Linked DNA regions of Mus musculus. The protein of the gene in region 4 binds, or shares a complex with, the protein of the main gene of each other region. Links are inferred from orthologs where the notes say so. Each region holds a gene or a part of one and is shown on either strand. Other genes may lie near its edges.

Region 1 (3,431 bases), on a different chromosome or scaffold from region 4:
AGAAAAATTAAAATCCAGAAAACTAAAAGTTGGTTTTATGTTTTTATTCTTCTGTAGCTTGAGGCCCTCATACATAACAAGCAGTCTGGAAGTTAGTGTCCATATACATTCAACGATTTAAGTTAGAGTACGATTTCACTATTATTACAGGTATCACTCAACATAGAGATTACAATTTCTTCTGAACAAATTTCCTACAAAATTAAATCTGACATATAAAATTCCATTTCTACTCTTTAGGAAAATCCAAAGTGTCTTTCAAAAAAAAAAAAGGAAAAAGGAAAAAAAAAACCTGTTGTCCAATGGCATAATAAAATCATATGGTAATGATAACAAACCTTTATACATCAAAAATATGGTAATTTATTTGAAAAATGCTGAATATTAAAATAAAAATAACTAAAGCTGAAAGTACCAGTAACTGTGACAATAGGAGATTGCCTTATCTTGTCCAGCATCATCTTGCAGCTTCAGGCCCTGCCATTAGTGGAGAGTCACTCAGGGAGCTTCTGTAAGACATGCATCCAAAGGTAGCTGTTTCAATGACTGCCTTAAGCAGCTCCTACTAACAGTTAGCATCACTCTCTTCTCAACTCGACACCACTGTAACCAGCAGTGTCTAAAACTGCAGCCTAGTGTTGTATATCCTCTCTAAGGACCAGCTATGCTTACAGCATTACTTCCCTTCTCTCCGTCCTCGCTTTGAATGATCTGATACATAGAGAGGGCAGAGAGCCACTCACCTAAGTGAACAGATCCACTTAAAACAACAAAAACATCTTAGCACAGGAGGTTCCTCTTAGGTAAAATTATCATAACTGTGTGCTATGGATCATAGGATCACTCAGAAGCCAAAATTTATTATCTTTAGCATATCATGTCATCAAAAATTTTCAAAATGCTTACTGAAACGTATGAAATAAGAGAATAATCATTACTGAAGGGAGAGGAATGACAAAGAGGCAAATGGAAAGAATTACTTTACGCTTTTTATCTCTGTATTTCAAATGTTTGTTTAATTCAGTTCAATTTAAGTACAGAATGTGGCTATATGTTGAGGGATACCTGTAATAGACCTCCATTGCATTAAAAAAAGTTACTAGACAGAAGAATTTATCTAAAAACTGAGACATTCTCAATTTATCAAGACAGAAATTGCATAAAGGGAAATAAAACATTAAATTAAATTAAATTAAATCAGTAAGTCTAAAATGTACCTGTTTGGAGGTGGTTTTGGTTTCGGCATCTTACTAAGAATAGTTGCCATCTCTTTTCTCTCATCAAAATTCTTCCACTGCTCATACAGTTTTAAAATAACCCTGATTATTTCCAAAATCTAGAAGAAAATATTTGAAAAGCTCTCAGTAGCAAAAACTAGCAACGTATCAGTATGTAAAGAACAGATATCATGCAGGGCAATGAGGACCCATGCCTCAATGCCAGCACCTGGGAGAAGGAGGCAGGTGGATTTCTATGCATCAGAGCCCAGCATGATCTACATAGCAAGGTCCAGGCAAGAAAGAGCTATACAGTGAGACCACGTCTTCAAAAAAGAAGAGTACCTTCTCCATATCCACAGAAAGTTCTGCAAACCACTGTCTAGCATCTTTCTGTTGTACGACACAGGCTACATGTAGGCAAGCTAGAAAGAAAATTACAGACAACTGTTCAAATTTAACTGTAAACATAGACTTAGAACTAAAGATTTTCATAAAGATTGTCTTATTTTCTAATACTATTTTTAAAAAATGTAGCAACAATATTGACACACACACTGTATTATAAAAAAAAGAAATCTCTAGCTACAGGATGCCTTGAGGGCAAATTTGTTACAAGAGAAACAACTCCAACCGAGAAATTAGGACAGGAAAAATCACCTATGCATACACGTGTAAAGTAGTCAAATCCCACCCAGAAGTCAGTGACAGAAAACCAAGTCCAACCCAACCAATGCACTGCTAAGTCTTAAAAATGTTCGTTAAGGGTACAGAAGTCTTTGAACTCACAGGTCACTAGGGTAACCAGGAATGTCAACCATACAGGATGTCTCCCTAAGGAGGAAATAAAATTCCTGCATTCCATCCAGAAAGCTGGGAGTGGCTATTGTTAAGGACCTAGAGCCGTGTTTGCTCTCTGTGGAGGCGGACCTCACGCAGATCCTCCAGTGTCCACCCCAGATCCTCCCTCCTTGAATCCCTAGCTGTAGATCCCAGTTAATAGAACCCATCCTTAGAGGATATAATCTAAATTTTTAAAAAGTGAATTTTTACGTAGGTGTTTATTAACCTTCGCACTACCGTCACATTTGGTTAGTCAAGCTTCAAAGACTGTCTTGTGTGATCTGGGTTCAATTCCCACCCACATTAAAAACCACAAACTAACTAAAACAAAGCTGGGAAGGAAGAAGGCTGGAGAGATGGCTTAATAGGCTGAGAGCACTGGTTGTTCTTCCAGTATTCAGTTCAATTCTCAGCACCCATATGATGAATGAACCAACTGTTACTGCAGTAATGGGGATCCAATGCACTCTTGTGGCCTCTGCAGGCACTTCATAATGGCCACACATAATGCATGGACACACATGCAAGCAAAACATTCACACACATAAAAGAAAACTCTTGGGCATGATAGCACACACGTAACCTGTGGGTCACTGGTCAGTCAGCCTTGTCTAATAAATGAGCTGTAGTTCTCAGTGAGATACCCTGTTTCAAAAAGGTAGATGGCTCCTGCAGAATGACAAGGGTTGACCTCTAGCCTCTACCATGTGTACCCCGCCTTCACATGCACATACTCTCACACAACACACCCACACCCTCCCCCCACACACACTTACATTAATGTTTCAACACATAAAAGACTATATATAAAAGCCACTGATCTCAGTAAGACTACCTGAGAGGAACACATACCACACGGTGGCAAAAACATGCCATACATCCTGCTATTTCTTCCTATCCATACAAACCCAGCATCTTTTCTCACTGAACATACATAATACTTTAGAGTCCTACCAAGTTCAGCAATTTACAAGAGTCACCAATGAGGGGCTAGAAAGATGGCTCAGAGGTTAAGAGCACCACTGGCTGCTCTTCCAGAGGACCTGGATTCAATTCCCAGCACCCACATGGTGGATCACAACTATCTGTAATTCCAGTTGCAGGGGATCCAATGCCCTCATTCATACATACATGCAGGCAGGCAAAACAACAATGCATATGAATAAAAAGAAACAAAACATTAAAAAAAGGCACTAATGCCACAGAAGTGTTAAGTTTAATTTATATCAACCTCTAGTATAAGGTTGAAAACCAGCAATGTTTATGACATAACTGAAAAGGGGTACTGGAGAGAGACGGCTTAGCTGTTTAGAGTGCTTATTGCTCTTGCAGAAGACCTGGGTTCAATTTCTTTTTCTTTTTCTTTTTTTT
Region 2 (3,257 bases), on a different chromosome or scaffold from region 4:
TGCTAGGAGGAAACAATGTTGGGAACCACACAGCTAAACTGAGAAGGAAACACTAGAGTCAGAGACCATCAGCTAGTACACTGTGCCTGCCTGCCTGCCTGCCTGCCTGCCTCCTGCCCACTTAAAAGCCTTACATGGTCTAGTTGGTCTTTATACCAAGAGTGAAATTACAGCTGTTTCACTTTAATACTTTGTGCATTTGGTTTACATTTAGCCATTTCTCCATCTCTGATTTGTTCTCTGCTTGCCAGTATGGAGTCTATTTTCTGATTGTTACATTCAGGAAAACAGCTCATATTCTCTGAGAGACGGGTGGGCTTCTGTAGCAGAAGCAAGTCTCTAGGAGAGGAGGCTGAGTCCATTGCTCAGGGGTGGTTAGAACTCCTTAGTGCTTTTTGAAACAGGTCTAAAATTTATAGAATGGAAAGCTATGACTGTCTGGCGCACAATCTGCTAGAGCCTCTTCCTTGGGAGTCACACAGAGGCTGCAGACTGTAGGGTCAGCAGCTTGGATGCTGCTGGAATGAAAAGCGCTCCCCTTGGTTTACTGTCCCTCACTGTGGCATTCAGAAGACTCTGCACTTGATGGCGGCTAGTAATCGAGATGACTGAGCATTATCACGCTGGCCTTAAATTTACGTTAGCCGACTTTGCTGGGTGGGTATCTTGGTTCCAAGGTTCAGAAATGTATTTATAACAGTTTTTGTGTATGTGCAGGTGTTTGGGAGATGGACAGCTTAGATGATCCTATTTCCTGATAGTTTGAAATTAAATATGGTGTGTGTATGTATGCTCTTCTAAACTTGTGTTTAATGATCTGAACTGTTCTATTTTCTCAACTCAGGTGCTATCTCCTCTGAAGAAATCATTAAATATGCGCACAGGATTAGTGCAAGCAATGCTGTCTGTGCTCCACTGACTTGGGTTCCAGGTAACAGAGCTTCTTACATCAGATGAATGCAGGTTTGAAAGGACTGAGGTATCTAAATAAGATCATTTAACGTAGAATGTACTCATCTAGAGTAACATCTGCTAACAAAGGCATTTTCTTCAGTGTTGGAAGGAATGTCAGGTGTTACCCTCTTCTACCCTTCTACCCTTACTGTGTAGCCCTGGCTGTCCGGGGACTCATTTTGTAGACCAGGCTGGCCTGGGAAGAGAAGTCAGAGTTCTGCCTCACTCTGCCTTAAAGGTACGTGCCACCGTGCCCAGCTTAAGGATTTCCACTGTAGCTTCAGGCAGTGTGTGGCAGTATATACTGCAAAGGCAGGTACTGAAGAGGCCGAGGCAGGACTGCAGGCTTGAGGCTCACAAAGCACTTGCGTCTTTTAGTGTGAACTAAGGGCAGCTCATTCTTCAAGAACATATAAATGCTTTTTGAAAGCCTGAGTTAAAAGCTGTCTTTACTGTTTTAGGAGACCCTCGGAGGCCATACCCAACCGATTTAGAGATGAGAAGTGGATTGTTGGGTCAGATGAACAATCCTTCCACCAGTGGTGTGAATGGTCACCTCCCGGGAGATGCCCTTGCAGCAGGTAGACTGCCAGGTAATGCCAACTGGATGGGTGTTTTTAAGCAGACAGAGGTGCCCGTGAGGCACTGTCTGGTAGTGGACATCAAGATCTGTTACACAGGTTCCCTGCCAGTTTGTCATCCAAAGACCCTGCAGTGATGCACAGGACACTGACCTAAGCCCCTATGTCCCTCATGTGCATCTATTTCCTGGCACCCTCCCCAGGCCTGGCCTTCCCCTGTCGTGACCACTCTGAAGAGCATTTTTGCAGTTGAGAGGCATGCCCCCAAATAGAATAAGCACATTTTGTAGGTGCTGTGTTTTAATGTGGAAGAACCTTCCTAAGGAGAGGACATAGTGGGGACTGTGCTTTCTGAAGCCCATTGTAGCCATGGGCCACACTGTGTTAAAGTGTGGATTTGGGAATCTGCTTATTTGTGTTTAGCATTGCGAATCCCTAACCTTGTTAGATCCTTGGTACTACAAGGTAGGTGGGTGGGTAGATAGAATTAAGGTACTTGCATAGAGGGAGGGGATTTGAGTAGGCTGATCACAAGTAGGACTAATCCCATGTGCCTCTTTTCTCCAGATGTCCTTGCTCCGCAGTACCCATGGCAGTCAAATGACATGTCTGTGAACATGCTGCCACCAAATCACAGCAGTGACTTTCTGTTGGAGCCTCCTGGGCACAACAAAGAAAATGAAGATGATGTTGAGGTTATGTCAACAGACTCTTCGAGCAGCAGTAGCGACTCTGACTGAGAAAGGTGTGGCATGCACAGACTCCAGTGCGGCAGAGTTCTGTCAAGGGGGAAAGAAAAGCACAGACCTAAGGAGCCCATGAAAATCAGCGGGTTTTCTTCCTAGAGCCCGAGCCCCTGGTTTTCTATCTGTTACACAATGTTTGAGGATTAGTCAGAATTACTGTAGTGTTTGGTTGTACATAGCAGCCCTGGCATGAGACTGAAGAGGAACTCACACAACTCATGGAGCATACTTAGAAAGAGCACTGAGCCAGACGTGGTGGCTCACACCTATAGTCCCAGCACCTGGGAGGCTGAGGGATTGCTGTGAGTGTCGGGCCGCCTTGAGCTACAGAATGAGCTGAGCCACCAGGGTAACAGAGATAAGAACAGGCATCGGAGCGCTGTGTGATACTTCAGAAGTGCTCACTTGAACAACTCAATATATATATGTGGTAAATACTGTAATTTGTGTAAATAAACTTGGTTTTGTTTGTATTTAATTTTTTTCAATTTTTTAAAAAATATTTTTAAAATTTAGGTACACCTTCAGTGTAGGAAGGAAACATTTAAATCCAGTTGAATTTGAGCTGGGCAGTGGTGGCACATGCCTTTAATCCAGCACTCAGGAGGCAGAGGTAGGTAGGCAGATCTGAGTTTGGGGCCAACTTTGTCTACAAAGCAAGTTCTAGGAGTACAGAGAAACCCTGTCTGGGGAAAAAAAATCCAGATGTATTTTATAATAAAATAAGATTCTGGTATATATGATACAGTATATACAATAAAATGACTATCTTAACTCATAGTCACAATTAAGTCTCTGAGATCATTAAGTTGAAACTGAAAACATTTATTACAACCCCATACTACACAGACACATACACACAGGATAAGGAAAGTTAGAATAGATGGCCATCTCATGCCATCACCTTGTCTCCTTGTGACTTTTCTCATCTTTTACAGGACTGGGTCTCCCTGCTTGTATAAGGTACCTAGGTTAG
Region 3 (4,470 bases), on a different chromosome or scaffold from region 4:
AAATTTGTTAGCCATAATTGCACACTCATAAAGGTAAGCATTACATGACACCATTCTCTGTCACTTCTCTCTGAAGAGGGTTAATTTTAGTGTTCACTCTTCAACTCTGTCCTCGTTTTGTATTTTTTCCATGAACATCCTAAATATGTGTCAATTAGCAAGTGGTGGAGCTTATAACTGGGCAGAGCAAAGCACAGATCCCTGCACAAACATGCAGCTCTTACCTGGGCCCTGAGCAATCACGGAAACAGTGCAAATGTCCAGGGACCCTTCAATACCACAGCAAGAAATGGAGGACAGTGCTCCAGGCTGATTCTACAAAGAGATTCTGCAAAGCCAGCCCCTGGCACATATACCTAGTTGTTTTTGTGGGTGGTCACTGACAGTGCATTTTGGGAAACACTTCCCTCCTCACTCAGAGACAAGTTCTCAACTCCATCCACCACAATAAGGTCTCCCTTTGAGATATACACTCCAAGCAACTTACCCACAGGCCAAAGAGCATAGTAATACTTATGACCAAGGGAAAATTCAAGAAACTAATGTTTGGGCCAGGCATGGTGGCATATACCTTTAATTCCAGCATTTGGGAGGTAGAAGCAGACAGATTCTCTGTGAGACTACACTGGTTTACATACATAGTGACTTCCAGTGACTGTCTCAGAAAAAAACAAAACAAAAACCTAAAATTTGGGCTGTCTACCTTCCTTCTTTTACCCACAAAGGGTCTTCTAGTCAGACCTTACCTAACACTTGGACCCACCTGATCTATAGCATCATGATTACCTGTCAAAGCGCTTGCTGGTCCCAACACTCTCACATACAAGCAGTCAGGATCTCTGATAAGATCTCAAGCAAAGGAGTTACACAGGAGTTAAAATTTCCACTGTGGAAGAGATGAGCAGTGGTGGTGCAATCGTTTAATCTGGAAGAAGAGGCAGGAGAATCTCTGAGGCCAACCTAGTCTAAAGAGCAAGTTCAAGGATAGTCAAAGCTACATAGAAGAGGAATCCTTCTTGAAAAACAACATCAAAAAATTATACTGTGTACACTATGGCTTCAGCAAAGATGCAAAAGCCATCAAGGCTATGTTTTCCTATCTCTTGTTTTTACCTTTTAATATCCTAATATATCAATCATGTGATTACAGTCAGTAATACCAATCACTGGCAAACAAAACAACAACAAAAAACCCAACAAAACCTTAAACCAAAAAAAGAAAAAAGAAAAAAATTTAAAAAGGCTTTCTAGAAGATTTTTATCTAGCCTGTCCCTATTCTACCTCGAGAAAATGTCTACAGTATTTACTAAATTACTATCAAGGTGATCTTAAAGACCAAGAAGAAAATAATTTTGGATCCAGCAAGCAGATCTCATAGAAACTAGAGCACCTCTATTTCTACCAAGACCACACAAACAATGTGAATTATTCTGAACACACCACAATACAGTGTACATTGTACATTGCTAAGAGTAACTGGTCAAGCATAGTCAAGGGAACTCAAAAGACTCAAACCTCGGTTACCTGTCCAAGCCCAAGATGATTTTTCTTCCATCCCGAGCATATTAAAAAGTGATCTCAAAGGCCACTTCCTGGTCTCCCAGCAAACACCTCATATCTGAATGCCTGTGCATCTTCCCATGGCCCTGCTCCTAACAGCAACAAGGATACCCGCCCCCTACACTGCCAACAAACCTTTGGGAAAAATACAAGAACAGGTGAAATTAGTCTATGCTCACACAGGAAGAAAAAGATGTCCCTCTGCTCACAGGACTCTTAGCAGAGGAAAGTGTGACATAAAGTAACCCCTTACAATTAAATCTTGACAGGCTAGGGCCCAAAGCACCTCAGGAGGGGCAAGAGAGAGATGGAAAGAGGACCGGAAGGTAGGAATAAGAGAACAATCAACTATGACGGGCAGTAACTCAGTACCAAAATCCCATGCTTTAGCTTCTGGTCAGATGCGCAATGGAGCATTTAGGCCAAGAAAGATGACAGGAAGGATCCCACTCTCTGCAGGGTCGTCTTTTCTAGAAAGACCCCAGGAAAGGTTTGTCCACTATCAGAAAAAAGAGGAGACTCTCCAGGCATCACAGGTAGACAGACTGGGGGCAGAACGGGCCTAGGGTTCCCTCCTAGCCAAGAAGGAGGTTCAGCCAGGAGACCGAAGGGGAGTAAAGGCCAAGACTCCGGAGACGCGGGCTACTCTAGTCATCGCGGAGACACTAGTTGCTTCCCACCTTGCCCCCGGCAGGGAGACCTTCCCGGGGGGTTCTCAGTTCCCAGGGTTGAGGTGAGGCAAGGAGGCACGGTGGGGACCACCAAGGGCGGTCGGGCTGGGACAACGGAGAAGAACTAGCTCTGATCAAAGCTCCAAACGCTCCCTCAGTCCAGGCCGCGTGAAGCCTCGGCCTCAGGTACCCTCAGCTGCCGGGCAATCCGCCTTGCCTGCGGTCCCCGGACCCAGGAGAAAGAGAGACCGAGATGGCAGTGGCTGTGGCGGGCAGATCACCGCCTGGAGAGAGCCCCTAGCCGGGGGCGCGTCGGAGGGGGAGGGTCTCGACACATGCGGCCTCGGTCCCCGATCGCGAGGCAGTCACTTACGTTGCTCTGGGAGTCGATGGCCTGTAGCAGCCGGTCCCTCATCTGCTGCGGAGACGCCGGAGCCGCTGTCATTGCCTGGGCGAAGCGGGGGGGAGCGGCCGGGCCGGCGGGCGGGCAGGCTGAGGAGGGGGAACGCGGGTCAGTCACTCGCCGGCCTCCGGGAACGGAGCCGCATGTTCCCCGCGGCGCCGGAGGAGGTCAAGGCGCTCGGGGAGATGGCGAGGACGGAGGGAAGCGGAGGGGACCGGAGCTCAGGCCCCGGACCACCGCCGCCACCGCCGAGCGAGGAGGAGGAGCCGACGGAGGAGCCTCCGCCACCACCGCCGCCGCCGCCTCGAGAACCAAACTCCAGTGAGCTGCCCCCCGCGCTGAGCACTCTGGGTAACCCGCGCCGCACGCAGCGTCGGCGCCACGCTGAGGAGGTTGGGAGATGGGGCGGGTGGAGACGCCGGGTTTGGGAGGGTCCGGCTCGTGAGCCCCTCCTATTGATTGTGCGCACGCGCGCGCAGGCGCAATTAGCAGGTCCTGCCGCCTGGTTCCGAGGTCCGACACAGAGGGCCGTTGGGAGGCAGTTGGGCGTGGCAACGGACGCTATCTGAAGGCCACGCCCACTCGGGACTGGAGGGATGGGCTTCCTAACGGAAGCGCACCCTTCAAGTCCTGGAACACCGACTCTATCTTCTGACTGCTTTGGGGTTGCGGAATGGAAAGACCCTCCCCCGGATGAGGGCCTCCTGCGTTTAGAAACCAGAGGATTGGAGCGGCCATAGGTAATCTGAGGAAGGCAGCGGTTCCCTGCGTTTAGACTCGTGCCTCGAGGAGCTCGGAGGAGCTCCGCACAGCCTTCTCCGCTGCAGAGGCCCCAGGCGCGGGTCTGCAGGGCAGTGCGTGTCCCCATGTGACCCGCGTGCTGCGGGGACCTAAGGTCACGTCTGGGAGCTGCCACCTCTGCAGAGGACGCAAGTCTGCAAGGCCTGCGCGACGCTGACACCTCGGGTCTGCATCCGTGCGGGGCTGGAACTCAAGAGGAAGCACCGCTTTTGTCGCCTTCCTAGAGGCGGGGGGGGGGCGGGGGGGGCTGGAGGTGGCCAGCCTGTGTCTGAACAGCAGGATGCGGAACCGTCGCCCAGCATCTTCCCCTTGGCGTTCCGAGGGGACGGAGCGACCCCGCCTTTGCATCTCAGGTGATGGAAAACAGGAACGCCTCACGGGGGAGGAAGGGAAGCACCAAGGTCACCTGGAGTTTTAAGTCAAACCAAGAAACGAAGGAAGTCAAGTATAAAGGCTGCGGTCCTCCGTCCTTCGGTGACCCCTACAACTGGACAGATGGAGGGCGGGCTCCGAGTTTAGTGCACTATACGAAAGTGGCCTCGGGAGAAATAACTTCGTGTAGTGTTGTAACCTTAAAAATCCAGACATGAAACGGAAGGGAAACAGGTAATGAAAACCACATGTACTTCTGAGAGCTGCTCAACACCTGTTAATTTTAAATTTGTCATACTTCGGGGGGGGGGTACTGGGGGAGGTGAGGAACCAGGCATTTAATTCCAACGCTTGGGAGGCAGGAGGCTCACTGGAGTTCCAGGCCAGCTTGGTCTGCACAGTGAGTTCCAGATTAGCAAGGACTACGTAAGTAAGACCCTGCCCTTTTCTCCCACCCACCCAGAAAATAAATTTATCATGGCTGGTTTCTTGATTCTGCACATGACAGAAGGCTTTGCATTACACCAATAGAATGAACACGAACAAATACTTCTCAAATACACTCTCTTCCTGGCATGTGTTTGGAGCTCAGGTTCCAAGTTGGAAAGCAGCCCATTTTGAAGATACACTTAATCTCACCAGATAAGCAAAATAAACAAGGT
Region 4 (4,392 bases):
TTCTGACAGAACAGAGTTCACCATCCACACTGGGTTGTCCACAAGGGCCTGTAACTCCAGCTCCTTTCTGACTTCCCTCCACAGCACCCAGCCCCAGAAATAAAATAAAGTCAGGTGTAATGATGTGCATTTAGTTCCAGCACTAGGAGATGGATCTCTGTGAATCTGAGGCCACTCCCATCTACAGAGTGAGTTCCAGGACAGCTAGAGCTACATAGTGAGACCCTGTCTAAAAACAAACAAAATAAAATATAAATAAATCCTTTTTTAAAAAAAAAGTGTAGTGATGGGAAGAGGAGAAAGACTGCAGGATTGGGGAGCAATTCAGGGCCTTCCCTGTACTGCCCTGGCCTCTCTGCTGCCCCCTGCTGAATTAGGCAGGCTCTACACTGAACCTCCAACTCCCATCCCTTCTGTCTACACTGCCAATTCACATCTTTCATCGCTTTGAAAATCCAGTTTAAAATATGCCAGCTCTCAGAGCCACTCAAAGCTGACCTTATTCTGTCTCAGGTTATACACTGTAATTACATACCTGGATCATACCACATCAAGTTGTACTGCCTTGAAACTTTGCAAAGGCAGCCAAAGACTATGTGAGTGAGCTGCCAAGATGGCTCAGCGAGCAAGAGCACTGACTGCTCTTCTGAAGGTACTGAGTTCAAATCCCAGCAACCACAAGGTGGCTCACAATCACGCATAATGAGATTTGATGCCCTCTTCTGGTGTGTCTGAAGACAGTAACAGTGTACTTAATAAATAAATCTTTGGACCTGAGCAAGCACGGCCGACCGGAGCAGAGGTCCTAAATTCAATTCCCAACAACCACATGAAGACTCACAACCATCTGTATAGCTACAGTGTATCCAGAGACTATGGGCACTGGGCACTGGATTCCCTAGGACTAGAGTCAAAAACTGTGAGCTGCCATATGGGCTCTGGGAATGAAACCCTGGCTTCTAGAAAACCAGCCAGTGTTCTCAACTGCTGAGCTGCTTCAGCCCCAACACTATTCTTTAATGAAGTAAGTGCTTCCCGTTATTGTGTACAATTCTTGTTTCCTAAGAAAGGTTCTCAGTCTCTAGCCTAGGCTGGCCTTGAACCCAAGTTTAGTTCCCAGTACCCATATCAGCAGAAAGCTCATAACTACCTGTGACTCTAGCTCCAGAGGATCTGATACCTCTAGCCTCCATAAGCACCCACACTTGTGTGCATATAGCCACACACAGGGGCACAAGTGCTTGTACACACACACATTTGAAAATAAAAACAAATCTTTAAACAAATAGATCAAACTGCAAACTGACCACCATAATATAAGATGGACCAAGAACGAATGAGGCCACAAACACATCCTGCCTCAGTCAGGACCGCTACCCTTGACAGAAAAGCAAGCAGATCCATTAACGTAAATACTCTAAGCCATGCTCCTCCCATCTGCTCTCAGCCATCTACTGACCTTGGCTGCCCAGGGTAGAGGCAGCTGTGTGGTAAGTCTCACAGTCCACACAAAATGTCCCTTGTTTCTCTGCTCCAAGCATCTCCAGTTTCTTGGTGAGGAGCTCCACTGTCTGCTGGAGACTCTTGCCCTCAGCCACAGGCATCTGGGACACACTGAGAAACACAACGCCAAGTCAGCAGGGTCCAGAGACACAGAGCTTCTGGCTAAGCCACTCAATTCCCCAACAGGTAACGGATCAGCAGGGCTAGGAGTTACTTAGACATCTCTGATCCCCACCCATCAGTCCCCAAGAGTTCCTGGAACTCACTTGGTAGACCAGGCTGGCCTGGAATTCACAGAAACTTGCCTGACTCTGCCTCCCAAATGTTGGAATCAAAGGCATCAGCCCTCAGATGGATTGCCTGACTCTTCCAAAGGCCCCAGGAAAGGCCCTGTCCTGTATCAACTTACTGCAAACAGGGAAACTGAACTCTAAATGACTCTGCTGTGATCTGTCTTCATTGCTCACAGGCATTCTTTACAGTAGGGTAGAAGTATGAGATGAGGCTCCTAGTGTCAACTGTGGCAAGAGCCTTCCTTTCACAGGGCAGACCTGTGGCCCCTGGCCTCCAAGCTTCTTTAACTGGAAAGAAGCACACCACTACCAAGACTTTTAAGTGCTGAGGCCGAGTACTTTAAAATTAATACCCAGAAAAGCACGGTGCCCAAACCTTACCAACTGCCTTTTTATCAAGTGAGACTTCAAACATGTTTAAGATAAAAGTCAATCAAAACTGTCTGAAGCCCAGGCGATGGTGGCTCGCGTCCGTTTCATCCGTGCGCTTGAGAGGCAGAGAGAGGCAGGTGGATCTCTGTGAATTCGAGTCCAGCCTGTTCTACAGAGTGAGTTCCGGGCCTCCCAAGCCTACACAGTGAGACACCCAGCTCGAAAAATTGTCTCTGCCTGGTACTCCGAACTCCAAACTCCCAACCGCTCCTTTCCTCCTACCTCTGTCACTAGCCCCAACACCTTAAAATGGCCAATTCAAAGTCTGTAACTGCAAGCAAAATAGAAAAGTCACTTTCTCCTCGCGCCACTCTTATCCCTTTCTGCGAACAACTCCTAATCTAGAAACCCTATTTCTAACCTTTGGGTGCTAGTAGCGACACTACAAGGCCTCAAGGACAGGAAGAGGTACCAAGAAAAAGGTACAACTCCTGGCGGGTCCTAGGGATGCGCTGCTCCCTTTGCCAAAGGGGTGTGTCTGGGAAGAGAGAAGTCCCACGCAGTGTCCCCCATCCACACAACCGGAAGACATCTTGGTCAGCCCCCCGAGGAACCGAGAACCTCGGTCAAAATCCCTTTCCCCGGGCCATCACAGGCCCACAGACACCTTCACGACCCTATATGCTCCGTCACCACAGAAGCCCTTCAAGTCCTACCACGTCACTCCCATAGCGAAGGATCAAAAGGTGGCGCCTCCAAACCCTCGAACTCAGAGACTCCAGACCTTCACGCGAACGGCGGCCCCCTAAACACAGGAAGCAGTCGTTGATCGACCGCCGGAAATGCGCAAATACTGAGCGCCGCGGCGACACGCCCACAGGGAGCGCCATCTCTGGTACCCAGTGGTGACATTTCTAGAACGTCATCGACTCGGCTCCGCCCCCAAGGCGTCCAACGGGTTGACAGGACGCCCTAGGCTACTTTCATGAATTCTGGAAAAGGGTGACTTGGACATCCACCTTTCTAATGAGATTACCTGAGAATTTGGGGGCTCCTGCTATAGGTCCCGAAGCTCTTCCTGAGAGTAATAGATGAGGAACTTCCGGCCTCCTAACGCTGGGGGGCACTGTGATCTCTCAGTGGCCTCTTGGCGATCGGAACACACAGCGCAAGCGCAGTATCGGCTTTTTAGCCGGCTTCACACGTGTGAACCTGGTGGGCAATTTTTTCGGCCAAAATGCCCAAATTCAAGGTGACACGTGGGGCCAGCAATCGGGAGAAGCATGCACCTCTGGCCGAGCAGATCCTGGCTGGGAACGCAGTGCGCGCGGGGACCCGAGAAAAACGGCGGGGGCGTGAGGTCGAAGAGGAGGAAGAGTATGTGGGACCCCGGCTAAGCAGACGGATTTTGCAGCAAGCCAGACAACAGCAGGAGGAGCTCGAAACTGACCATGGGGCTGGTGATCGGTCAGCACCACCGCGAGAGCGCGCCACGCGGCTGGGTGAGTGACAAGGGGTGGAGTCGTGAGTTGGGCCGGTCTGACACCCCATCAGAATACTTTACCGGCGTGTTCCTCCACTTCCACTCCTGAATTCCAGAATTCAGAGTTAAGCCAACGAAAAGTGATCTCTCACACCAGTTCTAGCATTATTTTATTTTAGGTTTTTTTCGAGACAGGGTTTCTCTGTATAGCCCTGGCTGTCCTGGAACTCACTTTGTAGACCAGGCTGGCCTCGAACTCATAAAGCTGCCTGCCTCTGCCTCCCAAGTAAAGGCGGGTACCACCACCACCTGGTGGTCTAGCATTTATTTATTTATCCTCTGGGCGTTTGAAGTATTTGTGGACTGCCTGCATAATGTTTTGAGCTGTGTTAAGTTTTTAGGCAGTTTTGATACAGAAATAAGATATTCGTTCCTCCTGATAACACCGGAAGTCTAGCTCAAGGCACCCATTAAATAGAGTTACATATTCCAAGCAGGAGTGGCGAGGCTCACCTGTAATCCCAGCACTCGAGAAGCAAGGCAGAAGACCTTCTTGGCTATATAGTAAATTTCAGATTAACGAGCCCTGTCTCTCAAGAGAGAGGAAAAAAGTGATGATATTTCTATTTAAACAAAAAAGCAGATGAACATTAATTCTACATGGTGGGTATCCCAGATTTCATGTCCTTCGAATAAGACCTGAAAAGCAAGTGGGGACTGTCCCTGTCCCAGCGACAGGGG
Region 5 (4,558 bases), on a different chromosome or scaffold from region 4:
AAGAAAAAGAAACAAACCTACAAACAGGTTAGAGCTACAAGGAGGTGTATTTGAGCACAATATAAGGAAGAGCTCCCTCGCCTCTGGCTATCAATGGAGTAAGCTGCCTCTAACAGAGGGACTATGCTCCCAGGAAGCCTCCAACCAGAGTGGAGATAATCACCTTTCAGCAGCTTGGCTGGAGAGACTGAACTTGAAGTTGGCTCAGGCTTTCCATCTCCGGTCTGAAAATTTGCTAGCATGTAACATTTTATATCTTCTAATATAACTTCAAGTCTATCATTTGGATTCCTAAAGGAATCTATAATTGCATCATGAAGAGCAAATCTACAGGCAGCAAATCAAGTCAGGAAGGTAACGAGGATAAAAAGAAATTTTTGAAATGTTTTACTCTCATTTTTAAAATTAGAGTCTCTGCCGGGCAGTGGTGGCGCACACCTTTAGTCCCAGCACTTGGGAGGCAGAGGTAAGCATATTTCTGAGTTCAAGGCCAGCCTGGTCTACAAAGTGAGTTCCAGGACAGTCAGGGCTACACAGAGAAACCCTGTCTCGAAAAACAAAACAAAACAAAACAAAACAAAAAAGAGTCTCTCTGTGTGGACCTGATTGGCCTGAAATTTGCTACATAACCAGGCTGGCCTCAAACTCATAGAGATCTACCTGACTCTGTTTCTTGAGAGCTGGGATTAAAGGGATGCCAGGCTAAACTTCTGGTTTTTCTGTTGTCTCCTCCTTTGAGAGGCACATCTAGACAGGGCTTACCTGTGTAGAGCTTGCTGCCCTGGAAGTAGCTCTGTAGACTAAGCTGGCCTTGAATTCATGTGCCCACCTCTGCCTCCCAAATGTTGGGATTAAAGGTGTGTGCCAGCTTCTTCTTCTTCTTTTTTTTTTTTTAAGTCAAAGCTATTGAGTTTGATAGTGTCCGTGTTTGTTCTTTTACAGTGAGTTAATGTGTACAATACATTTAGCACAGTGCTCGAAACAAAGAACACTCACTATAAAGAAGGGCAGTACCTCTAAAACTCCCAGAAAACAATACTTCCTACCTTCCTAGATTATAGTTTGGTAGGCATTAAAAATCCAGAAAGACAAGGGCAGTGCTAAGTGACAAGGTTAGACACCAAATTACATTAGAACTATAGTCTGAAACCAGTTGACTGGATCTTAGCTAGCCTGCATGAACAGAAGTGGTGTGTTCTGGCTTATATTACTTAGAGAGTAAGCTGGCTCCCATGAAGACAGTTGTTTGGTTCTGTTTGAAGGGAGTGAGGTAAGAATGGTAGCAGAAATAAATGCAATTCCTAAAATAATCTAAGTTACAGATGACAGTATCTTACATTAACTAAAAGCAGAAAGATTCAAAATATCATTTTCCATTCCCACACAGAGAAAACTGCTCAGTATCAGCACTTTGTATTTATGATAAAGTATACACAGATTTAGGATTATAAAAATTAAACTTACTTTAGATATTTGGCATATTCTGGTTCTTTCCAGTAAAGCAAATACTTAAGATAATTAACAAAAGCTTTGTCTTTGAAGTAACCTCTTTGGGCAAGAACTGAAAGACACAAAGAAACAATCCGTATGTCAACCAACCGCTGGACTACTGATTAGTAATCTCTAAAACAAAGTAGCTCTTAACATCCCTACCAACAGAACACAAGGAATTAAAAACACAAGCCTTTGTTTGCCCAGTTAACTTACAGACCAGAACAAATAAAATCCCATTCAAACACATCGAAGTAATAAATAGTATTACAAACTGCATCTCTTCTCAGAAATTAAGAGCTAGTTGCTTAAGTTAGTGATGTACTTAACTTACAATTAAGGTAGTTTGGGTTGGCTAAACATTGCACAAATTCCAACTCCAACTGAAACCGAAGCCGATTTCCAGCATCATCTAGGAGAAAAGACAAATATCAAAGTGCAGAAGAGACTTTCTTAGAAATTAAAGATATATGTATATGCGTGTGTGTATATATGTGTGTGTGTGTGTGTGTATATATATATATATATATATATATATATATATATATTCACTAAGTAATGAGGCCCTGTTTCCAAAACAAAAATAGTAAAACAAAAAATAGTAAAGAAATCCTTTAAAGTTAATTGAGGAAAAAATAAGTTGAATGGGAATTTACCACCTGCAGGCCACTTTGTTAGCGGAGATCACTGGACAGTCTGTAATAGCTGTGCGGTTCCCTAAGTTGTTATAACCACAACTATCAACTGTGATTACGTTAAGCAAAATCAATGTGCTACACAAAACCGAAGCATGATGCAAAGTGATTAAACAATGGAGAGAAGGCGGTGTCCGCATTAGAATACACAGGTTATCGATATTTCGGGCAAGTTCTTGGGAGTACCTTCAGCACAGACAGTGGAAGGTCTCAGTCCTCTCCCACGGCCCTGCACGGCCCCAAGAGCCAGGGTTGGAGTAGGGGTTTGAGCAACCCAGGAGCAAAGATGTTTTCACAGACCATAGTCTGAGAAGCAGCACAGCCTTCTCCTCCGCCGGTCCCAACTCTAAGGATGCCAAGTTGAACCCGAAAGACAGCGCAGGAAAAGGGAAAAGGGAGGGAATTTCGGGGCGTAGGACCATTCCCTTGGGGTGAAGACTCGGGGTGCAAGTCACAACGTACCTGTCTCCATAGCGACGGCCGCGGCCATAACAATCAGAGTGAGGCGAACACCACCAGCCCCGACCGAACCGCGACTTCGATTGGTGAGAATCCGGAAGCCACGGCTCCTACTTCCGGTCGCGGGGCAGAGTGGGACACGAGGGCGGGGACAACCTCACTTATGGGAAAATTAGCCCCACCTATCTGTGCAGACCCGGCCGGCTGCGCGCGCAGATATCGAGCGGGGCGTGCCGGAGGACTTCTCATTTTTTAGGTCTCAGAGTCCTGCTACCTACCCCGACGTAATACACCACCCTGACGTCACCTTTCCCTGTGTGACGTGACGCAGAGCATGATCCTTGGGCCTCTTTGTCCCACCTGACCAAGGTGTATGGGCAGGATGGCCTCGCCCCTTAGGAGCAAGTCCTCCGCCCCGCGAGTGGAAAGCACCCGCCACAAGGAGACATCGACTGTCCGCGTGGAGACGTCGTCCCACCGCGAGGAAACGTCATCCCACCGCGTGGAGACGTCCTCCCGGCAGGTTCGAACGTCTTCCCGGCAGGTGGAGACCTCCCAGCGCCACCGAGAGGGGCCCTCCCTCACCCCCTCCACGAAGCGACTCCCTCAGTTCCTTGAGGTGTCCTCCCAGCACGTGGAAACCTCCTCGCAGTGCACGGAAACGTCCTCCCGCCACGTCAGGGCGTCGTCATCCCTGAGGGTGGAGACTACTGTGCACCGTGTTGAGAGCCCAGCCAGGCAGAGTGCCAGAATGGCTCGATGAAGTGCCAAAGGTCCTTAGCCAGGACTGAAGAGTTGCCAGCCAGCCATCTTCCAGGAGAACCGAGCATCTTTGGTTTCATGGAAAGAACCCATAAATCAGTGTAAGAAACAGGCTGTGGTTTCTGGGGGCTGTTAACATGTATTGACATTGCAGCACCTTAGACCATCCTGTTGTTGACCCCAGTGTGCTATTAACTTGAAGCCAGCACAGAAGGTTTCAGACTGGTAGTGCAGTATAAACCTGGCTGATGGACAATGAGATTCTTTGAGTCTCTACACCAGGTAAGTTTTATAGTCTTAGGTCACTCTAGGATGTGTTGACGACTTGAAATTTGCAAAGAGGGGCCAAACTTGTCATGATTCTTGACCGCTGGCCTGATCATATACCTGCTTGAAACCTACAGGGCAAGGTATCATCTTTCATACATTATTAATTGGCCTTTATTAATACTTATATTTCATTATACATTTTCTCATGTTGTCATACATAGTATTCCACCCACACTTAAAAAATTAAATCAGGGGGTATAGGAAAAAACAGGACAATTAATAAACAATCAATAAAACCATTAATAATCTTGGAAGGGAAAGTAAAGAAGAAGCCATGACACTTGGCCTGAGGCGTGAGATTGACAGGATGGTAACTGAGTATTACTGCATGCTAGGTAGTAGTTAGAGCATGGCAGCTAGAGCAGTGGAAAAGACTAGGATCTTCCTCTAATGAAGAGACATGCAACAAAGGGGAAAGTAAGACAACATGCTGTTGTATTCCCGCGAAGGAAAGGCTGTCTGTCTTGTGGTAGAGAGTAGGGAACTCTTTAGAGAATATGGTCAGGGAAAGCCTTGCTGATTACATTTGGTCCGAGATTTGTGTGAGTGGACAGTGAGCCATATCAGGATCTAGAGGGAAGTGCATTCTAGACAGAAGGGAAAGTCTACATTTTTTTTAAAAATCAAAGATGTTTATGTAAGAGAAAGATCAGTTAGTATATGAGAGCGTGGTATAAGGAAGAAAACAAAAAGGAGGAAGATGCCACTTCATATAGAGTCTTGGAAATCTTCTGGGATTACAGTAAAGAGCTTGAATTTTATTCTGAGATCATCAAAAGAATTTAGTGCAAGGGAGCAAAGTGCGTATTGCAGTTTACAGT
Region 6 (2,951 bases), on a different chromosome or scaffold from region 4:
CCACAGGTCTGCCTGCCTCTGCCTCCTGAGTGCCAGGACTAATGTTAATGGCATGCACCACCAGCACATGGCCCTTTTCTTGCCTGAACATGTCTGTGTACTGAGTGTGTGCCTGGTGCCTGTGTACTTCAAAAGAGAGCATCCAATCACCTAGAACTGGACTCCTACGGAAGGTTGTCAGCACTCAAGGATGTGTTGGAATTAAGCCTGGTCCTCTCTGCAGGAGCAGCCAGTGCTCTTTAGCAGCTAAGCCACCTCTCCATCACCAGCTACTTGAATGTTTTTGATTACATTTGTGTGTGGGTGTGCACACATGTGGGTGCAGGACTCAACCAATCCTGTGGAGAAACAGGACGGCAACAGGCAGGAGTCGGTTCTTTCTTTCTCCCATGTGGGTCCTGGAGAGGCCCCCACAGCATACACAATAACAACAATAGTAAGACAGAACTATAGCAATATAGAAGTAGACTAGGAAGGAGTTAAGACGAGTAAGAATCAGAATCACAACTGAGTCTTTTCAGTCTTTATTACCACACAATGCTGGCTCACACCACCATTGTAAACCTTGTATATCAATGGCAAAACAACACAATTTAAAACATATGAAGAAAACAACAAATAAATAAAGGAATAAAAAATGTTTCTCTAAAAAAAACAAAAAAAAAACAAAAAAAAAAAAACAAACAGCCGGGCTTGCGTGTTATCGCACGCCTTTAATTCCAGTACTCGGGAGGCAGAGGCAGGTGGATTTCTGAGTTTGAGGCCAGCCTGGTCTACAAAGTGAGTTCCAGGGCAGCCAAAGCAACACAGAGAAACCCTGTCTTGTATTGAAAAACAAAACAAACAAACAAACAAACAAACAAACAAAAAACAAAAAAAAAAAACAAAAAAGAAAAGAAAAGAAGAGAAAAAAGAAAAAAAAAGCAAAATATTATGAGTTGTTTTTTGACCTTTCCTCTGAAAAGCTAATTTATTCCAGTTCCCTCTTTTTGAGTGGAGGGAGGACTTGAACAAATCTCCATATTATCCTGGGTCTTTCATTGGAAAAGCCTATCAAGAAGATGAACAGTCAGGTTTAATAAGGACCTTGCAGGCACTTAGGCGGGAAGTACAGGGTCCTGAGTTCCAGGGTAGCTAGTTTATGTAGTGAATTCCATGGTAAAACCCTGTTGCAAGAAAAAAGAGACATTACCAAGTGAAGGAAACAGTTGAAAGGAACCAGGTCTCGCCATCATCTTCTGGAAGGAAGTGGGCCCGGCTGGCAGCAGTACCTGGGCTACTTTCGAAGTCTCTCACCTCCCAGGTGGGGACAGGCCTAAAAGGCCGACAAACTTTCTTCATCACATCAGCCTTTTGGGGTCTATTTTTTCCAGGTGAACCAGAGGTTTGAGCTGCTCTGCAAAGTTCCTCATGTCATCAGAGACCATGTCCTGCCCAGCCGGGGCGACAACACTTAATTCCACAAGATAGGAGAGGGACAGGGCCTCGGTGCTGTCCGTGTTCCCTGGGACCAGGATTCGGAAAATCTTGTACACCACAACCTTCATGATGCCCTTCCGAAACAGGTGTCCTTTGGCGACAAACTCATGGTCCATGCGGAAGCCCATCTCCATCAGGAAGTCCGTGAGGTTCTCAGACGTGGCGATGTCCACACAGTTGCGCACCAGGGCGTGGCGGTTCTTGTCTCCCATTTCGGGCTGTCCCAGGTATCGCAGATGCCAGGGTGCCCCTGCCCTGTCCATGGAGCGCCGGGCCCTTAGGACGAACGGGCTGGCCTGCTGGCCCTTAAGCAGGAAGACCATCTCGTGATCAAGGAAGGTCTCAGGCTCCATGTTGTCACACAAACCTCGGAGGCGATGGATGAGGCTTTCCAAACTGTGGTCCAAAACACTTCCTGAAGAGGCACAAGCACAGTGAGTCCCGGCTTTCATTTCATTTAGGGTCATGAAACCAGCGAAAGATACACACACCAAATAAATAGTTCTATGCAACGTTTTCTAAGAACAATCCATGGGATTCTATTTATTTGTCTATTCAAAACGTTTTATATTTAGTCATTCTTGTCTCGGCAAACTCGAGAATACAATGGCACATAAATGTTGGTTGGAGGATAACCCGCTAGAACGGATTCCCTGTGGGTCCCAGATTGAACCCAGGTTGTCTGACTTAGCAGCAAATGCCGGGTAGTGGTTTGCATGACAGTAGCCCCCACAGCTCCTGGATTTGAATGTCTAGTCTCTACTTCCTATTGTTTAGGGAAGGACTAGGAGGAACGTCCTTGTTGGAGGAGGTGTGTCAGTGGGAGTTTTCAAAAGCGGGCCCCCATCTTTCTGTCAGTGGCTCAGGCTGTAGCTCTCAGCTACTGCTCCAGCACCTGCCTGCCTTAATGGGATGAAAGGGGTGTTATCACCATGCCCGGCTTCTTGTTCTGAAGTATAATTATATGAAAAAGAAAATCTGAATTTGTTCTACAAATGGAAAAATTGCATTGGCTATAAATAAATCATTGTGGCTGGGTGTAGATCTGTGAGAGACCATGTGCTCCAGATGCAAGGCCTTGCTGGGGTTTGATCAAGGCACCAAGAGGACCAAGGCTGAGGGATGGAGCTTAACGGCTGAGGACTGACACAGAAGGCTCGGGGTTCAATTCCTAGCACTATAAAATAATAAAATTAAACAACAACAAAGATTAAATAAGATTAAACAGTTATTTAACTGAGCCAGGCATGCAGGCACTCAGGAGTCTGAGGCAATAGAGTCGCTGCAAGACTGGGGCTGGGAAAACCACTCAGAGGTAAAGAGTTTGTACTGCTCTTGCAGAGGCCAGAGTTCAATCCCATCCACATCAAGTGGCTCACAACCTGTAACTCCAACTCCAAGGATCCCAGCACCTCCTGCCTCGCATGCATGTACCATCCCCTGAAACACATGCACAGAGAACTAAAAATGGT
Region 7 (4,254 bases), on a different chromosome or scaffold from region 4:
CATCTCGCTGGCCAAGACCACCTTTGACAAAGCCTTGGCTGACCTACACACCCTCAGTGAGGACTCCTACAAGGACAGCACCCTGATCATGCAGCTCCTGAGAGACAACCTGACGCTGTGGACAGCCAACAGTGCTGGGGAAGAGGGTGGTGAGGCTCCGAAGAAGCCCCAGAGCTGAAGCAGCCGACAACCTTGCCCTCCAGTCCCCAGCCTGCAGAGAGGACTAAAACGGAGTGGGACTCTGCCCTTCCCAAACCCTGAATGTTCAGCCACACCTTGGAAGGCTCCTTCGAAGGGGGTGCAGCCAAGCTGAAGCCACCAGGGCGGGGAATCTCACTCTTCGTGTAGCTGTCTGGTGGGTGTTCCCAACCCATCCCACCCCTGCTCTCTGCACCCCCTCCCCACTTCCTCCCCCTGAGCCTCCCTCGGGCACCTGTTACTTCTGGAGCCGAGTAATCCAGGAGGTTCCCCACCCTGTGGCTGAGAACTGGACTGTGACAAGGTCTGTGTGTGTGAGAGAGAGAGAGTGAATGAGAGCGAACACGTTTGCTGGGTGTGACCATGCTACCACTCAATAAAGTTGCCCTGTGTGTGTGTGGGGGGGGGGGGGAGTAGCCCAAGAGAGACCAAGGGATTTGAATGTAACAGCATAAAGTCATCTGTGATGCAGCTCATGTTACCTGTTACAGTTTAGTAGAGTAACAAAGAATAAACCCAGGGGTGGTGGCGCACACCTTTAATCCCAGCTCTTAGAAGCAGAGGCAGATGGATCTGTCAGTTTGAGGCCAACCTGATCTACATAGTGAGTTTCAGGACATCCAGAGCTACACAGAGACAGCTTGGAGACAGGGTTTCTCTATAGCATTGCAACATCATAAACAAACAAACAAACAAACAAACAAACAAAAACAGTACCTTGTCCATGCTAGGCAAGCACACTACTAACAGAGCTCCATCCCTATCTCTGGGTAAGTGTACCTTAAATTTCTGTCTCGATGCCTATGATATCACATATGTGATATAATAAACAGAAGTGCTGGGTAGTGTTCAGCTCTGTTGCACCAATGCCAAATATCCTTCAGGTTTTTTGTGGTGCCGGGGATCAAATCCAGGGCCTTGTCCCTGCTAAGCAAACACTTTACCAATGAACTGTATCTGCAGCCCTCACTTTCAGTAGTGGATAACTTATAATTTGTCCAGCCCAGCCTGTGTAGAATTATAATTTCCTCTCTCTGCTCTTCATTCTCATTCATCTGTGTGGCTAACTTCTACTCACCATAGAGACCTTGGTTTAAACATCACTTCCTTTAGAAAGCCTTCTGTGATTGCTCAGGCAGGACTAGGCATCACTTCCATATCCTCTCTTCATTTCTATACTCTGCCCTAATCATACCATAAACCCCATCGCTCAACGATTAGCGATAGTCTGCATTGCCTTCAACTTCCCTTGTGTACTGGGATCAAATCCCCAGGACTTACCATTGTGTGACAAACATTAACATTTGCAAACACCCAGAGAGGGATTATAATAGCTCAAAGGTAGAACACTTGCCTAGCATCTGCAGGTCCTAGGTTTGATTATCAACACCCACCCACCCCCAAATCAATTGTGGGAGGCGGTAGCAGAAAAATCAGGAATTCAAGTCCATTCTGGGCTACATAAAACACTGTCTCAAAAACAGAAACAAGGATCTGGCAAAGAGGCTCAGCAGGTGAAGGTGTTTGGCGTGCTAATATGAGTTCAAATCCCCAGAAAGGTGGGAAGAACTCTACAAACTCTACAAAAGTATCGTTTTTGTTTTTTTTTTGGTTTTTCCAGACAGGATTTCTCTGTATAGTCCTGGCTGTCCTGGAACTCACGTTGTAGACCAGGTTGGCCTCGAACTCAGAAATCCGCCTGCACCTGCCTCCCCAGTGCTGGGATTAAAGGCGTGTGCCACCACGCCTGGCTACAAAAGTATCTTACCTCCACAAGCATTCTGCGATGTGCATGCCCTCCCCGCCCATAAGTACATGTAGTTTTTTTTTTAAGTTTTACTTGTAAATGTATATGGAGAGAGTAAATAAATGTAATATTCATTCATTACAACAAATGGAGTGTTATTTTTGCAATAAATTAAGCCTAAATGGACAACTGTCAGTTCTCCAGGTGTTTCACCTCCAAAAGCCAAGAGTCGGGAATCTTTACCTGGGAACTAATGGCGTACTTCAGGTACGACAGGATCAGAGGATTGGGGGAAGGCCCAATCATAGCCTGCTCCAGGAGCGCTTCTGCAAGGAAAATTAAAGTAAGGCTGAGTGTTTACAGCTTTTCTGAGGACACCCCTCCCATCCTTCTTTGCCCATTTTACTTGAGACCTGCTAGGTTGAGAATGTCCCAGGTGGCTCCTTTGGGGAAGAATTTTTTCATGTTGATTGCCCATTGGTAGTCACTCCATCGCTCTTTCCAGGCTTGCAAAATGGCCTGCTTCAGGTTCACCACCTTCATGATGTCACTCCAAGGAGGCGAGATGAGTGACAAGGTGGGAGTTTAAAAACGGAGCCAGATGAGAACTGGAGTTCTGAGGGAAAGAACAAGGGAGACATAAATAGAACGGAAATTCGAGAAGGTTTAAGCAAAACAAACAAACAAACAGAAAAATAAACAGAGAGGAAAAAAACTAGGCAGAGTAGAAGGCGTCAAGTTAGCGGCTCTGTCACCTTCTCGGTTTCTGAACAACCGTTTCTCGAATTGGGACAGAAAGTGTCAACAAAGCCCTGAAGCGAGCAGGAAAGGGTTAAGCCCGCTCCGGTTGTCTAATTATGCCCTTCGCTCTAGCTGCGTTCCTCACCACTTCCACCCCAAACCCAGATCTACCCTCTCCCCATTGCCTCTACCTTCCTCGGCCCTGAAGTTGTAATTCCTTCTTTTCCTACATCTACCATCTCCCCAAATTTAAGCCTACCATACAAACCGGTTGTACATCGTAGGCAGCGCCATCTTGACACCTACTAAGGAAATCATTTACCATTGGCCGGCGGCAACACACACCAACCAATAGAAACGTAGCAAGAGGCGAGTCCTGCCACAATACCTTCTGGGAATTGTAGTTCTTTGTCTAAGACTTGTCTAAGCTGCCAAACAGGCAGAAGGATTAATCTAATTGGTTCTGGTGGTTTTTATCTGAGATAATCCGAAGAGCTGAGGTACGCTGGTACCCAGAGTCTCAGGGTCTATGGAGAAACCAACTCTCTGTCTCCCAGTGATGTTGCCATCTATCCCTACCTTCAATCATTCTGATACTGTGGCTATTTCCCAGAAACGAGGCATAACAGTGAATTCTAGCCTGGCTTCTGTTTTGGCTTCTAACCTGGCTTCTATTTGGGTTTTGGCCTTTGTTCTCGAAAGCCCCTGTAGGCACTAGAGCTCTCATTTTCATATTTCTATTCCAAAAGAGACACTGAAGTGTGGGTAGCAGCACACATACCATCATTTTAACCCCAAATCTGACAATTCTCCCAGAATTCACTGATCCTGAATACTGTTTGGATACAAAAGGAAATAAGGAGAAAACAGAAGCTGAGCATGGCACCACGCCCTTAGTGCCAGCACTCAGAAGGCAGAGGCAGCTGGGTCTCTGAGTTTAAGCCTGGTCTACAGAGTGAGTTCCAGGACAGCCAGGAGGACTACACAGAGAAACTCTGTCTAAAAAACACAAAACACAAAAACAAAAACAAAGAAACAAAACAAACAAACAAACAAAACAGAGGAAATATGGGTTAAGATTATTGGGTGTCTCAAAAACTGTTTAAGAAGGCCTCGGGGGCTGGTGAGATGGCTCAGTGGGTAAGAGCACCCGACTGCTCTTCCGAAGGTCCGAAGTTCAAATCCCAGCAACCACATGGTGGCTCACAACCATCCGTAATGAGATCTGACTCCCTCTTCTGGAGTGTCTGAAGACAGCTACAGTGTCCTTACATATAATAATAAATAAATCTAAAAAAAAAAAAAAAAAAGAAGGCCTCGGGATCAAATGTGGTATTGTGGCTAAGACCATTCTGCACATTTGGAGGCAGAGCTTTATCACCCCTCTTTTTCTTGGCTCCCAATCTCATATCCCAAGGAGATAGGTCAGCCTGTTTCTTCAAATTCTGTCTATATTCCCCAACCCATTCCTCTTCTGTCCCACATTCCTCTTTGTACAGCTATGAAAGCACTCTACACTGAACTACAGCCCCCTCCCTGAGCTACCTTTTGACTGAGAATCAGGATAA

Evidence for each region.
Region 1: Med20 (region 4) and Ccnc share a complex: the UniProt entries of both Homo sapiens proteins name them as parts of the mediator complex. The link is inferred for Mus musculus from reciprocal best matches to the Homo sapiens genes MED20 and CCNC.
Region 2: Med20 (region 4) and Med4 share a complex: the UniProt entries of both Homo sapiens proteins name them as parts of the mediator complex. The link is inferred for Mus musculus from reciprocal best matches to the Homo sapiens genes MED20 and MED4.
Region 3: Med20 (region 4) and Med26 share a complex: the UniProt entries of both Homo sapiens proteins name them as parts of the mediator complex. The link is inferred for Mus musculus from reciprocal best matches to the Homo sapiens genes MED20 and MED26.
Region 5: Med20 (region 4) and Med31 share a complex: the UniProt entries of both Homo sapiens proteins name them as parts of the mediator complex. The link is inferred for Mus musculus from reciprocal best matches to the Homo sapiens genes MED20 and MED31.
Region 6: Med20 (region 4) and Med18 share a complex: the UniProt entries of both Homo sapiens proteins name them as parts of the mediator complex. The link is inferred for Mus musculus from reciprocal best matches to the Homo sapiens genes MED20 and MED18.
Region 7: Med20 (region 4) and Med24 share a complex: the UniProt entries of both Homo sapiens proteins name them as parts of the mediator complex. The link is inferred for Mus musculus from reciprocal best matches to the Homo sapiens genes MED20 and MED24.

What each region holds. Positions count from the first base shown.
Region 1 is NC_000070.6:21,744,561-21,747,991, reverse strand, and holds part of Ccnc (cyclin-C), read right to left. Parts: intron 1,643-3,431; coding exon 1,563-1,642; intron 1,337-1,562; coding exon 1,218-1,336; intron 510-1,217; coding exon of another isoform or gene 458-509; exon of another isoform or gene 30-457; intron 1-29. UniProt on the Homo sapiens protein: Component of the Mediator complex, a coactivator involved in regulated gene transcription of nearly all RNA polymerase II-dependent genes.
Region 2 is NC_000080.6:73,515,792-73,519,048, forward strand, and holds the end of Med4 (mediator of RNA polymerase II transcription subunit 4), read left to right. Parts: intron 1-844; coding exon 845-931; intron 932-1,415; coding exon 1,416-1,547; intron 1,548-2,102; coding exon 2,103-2,275; 3' UTR 2,276-2,754; downstream 2,755-3,257. UniProt on the Homo sapiens protein: Component of the Mediator complex, a coactivator involved in the regulated transcription of nearly all RNA polymerase II-dependent genes.
Region 3 is NC_000074.6:72,545,290-72,549,759, forward strand, and holds the start of Med26 (mediator of RNA polymerase II transcription subunit 26), read right to left. Parts: upstream 3,022-4,470; 5' UTR 2,678-3,021; coding exon 2,606-2,677; intron 926-2,605; exon of another isoform or gene 787-925; intron 1-786. UniProt on the Homo sapiens protein: Component of the Mediator complex, a coactivator involved in the regulated transcription of nearly all RNA polymerase II-dependent genes.
Region 4 is NC_000083.6:47,610,185-47,614,576, reverse strand, and holds the start of Med20 (mediator of RNA polymerase II transcription subunit 20), read right to left. Parts: upstream 2,993-4,392; 5' UTR 2,899-2,992; coding exon 2,885-2,898; intron 1,615-2,884; coding exon 1,460-1,614; intron 1-1,459. Other genes in the region: Gm20517 (predicted gene 20517), read right to left, coding at 1,460-1,614, 2,885-2,898; Bysl (bystin), read left to right, coding at 3,406-3,670. UniProt on the Homo sapiens protein: Component of the Mediator complex, a coactivator involved in the regulated transcription of nearly all RNA polymerase II-dependent genes.
Region 5 is NC_000077.6:72,212,313-72,216,870, forward strand, and holds the start of Med31 (mediator of RNA polymerase II transcription subunit 31), read right to left. Parts: upstream 3,019-4,558; 5' UTR 2,677-3,018; coding exon 2,649-2,676; intron 1,904-2,648; coding exon 1,826-1,903; intron 1,562-1,825; coding exon 1,465-1,561; intron 1-1,464. Other genes in the region: 4930563E22Rik (uncharacterized protein C17orf100 homolog), read left to right, coding at 3,019-3,408. UniProt on the Homo sapiens protein: Component of the Mediator complex, a coactivator involved in the regulated transcription of nearly all RNA polymerase II-dependent genes.
Region 6 is NC_000070.6:132,458,220-132,461,170, forward strand, and holds the end of Med18 (mediator of RNA polymerase II transcription subunit 18), read right to left. Parts: intron 1,895-2,951; coding exon 1,341-1,894; 3' UTR 510-1,340; downstream 1-509. UniProt on the Homo sapiens protein: Component of the Mediator complex, a coactivator involved in the regulated transcription of nearly all RNA polymerase II-dependent genes.
Region 7 is NC_000077.6:98,726,427-98,730,680, forward strand, and holds the start of Med24 (mediator of RNA polymerase II transcription subunit 24), read right to left. Parts: upstream 2,994-4,254; 5' UTR 2,946-2,993; exon of another isoform or gene 2,878-2,945; intron 2,562-2,877; 5' UTR 2,489-2,561; coding exon 2,359-2,488; intron 2,272-2,358; coding exon 2,189-2,271; intron 591-2,188; exon of another isoform or gene 1-590. UniProt on the Homo sapiens protein: Component of the Mediator complex, a coactivator involved in the regulated transcription of nearly all RNA polymerase II-dependent genes.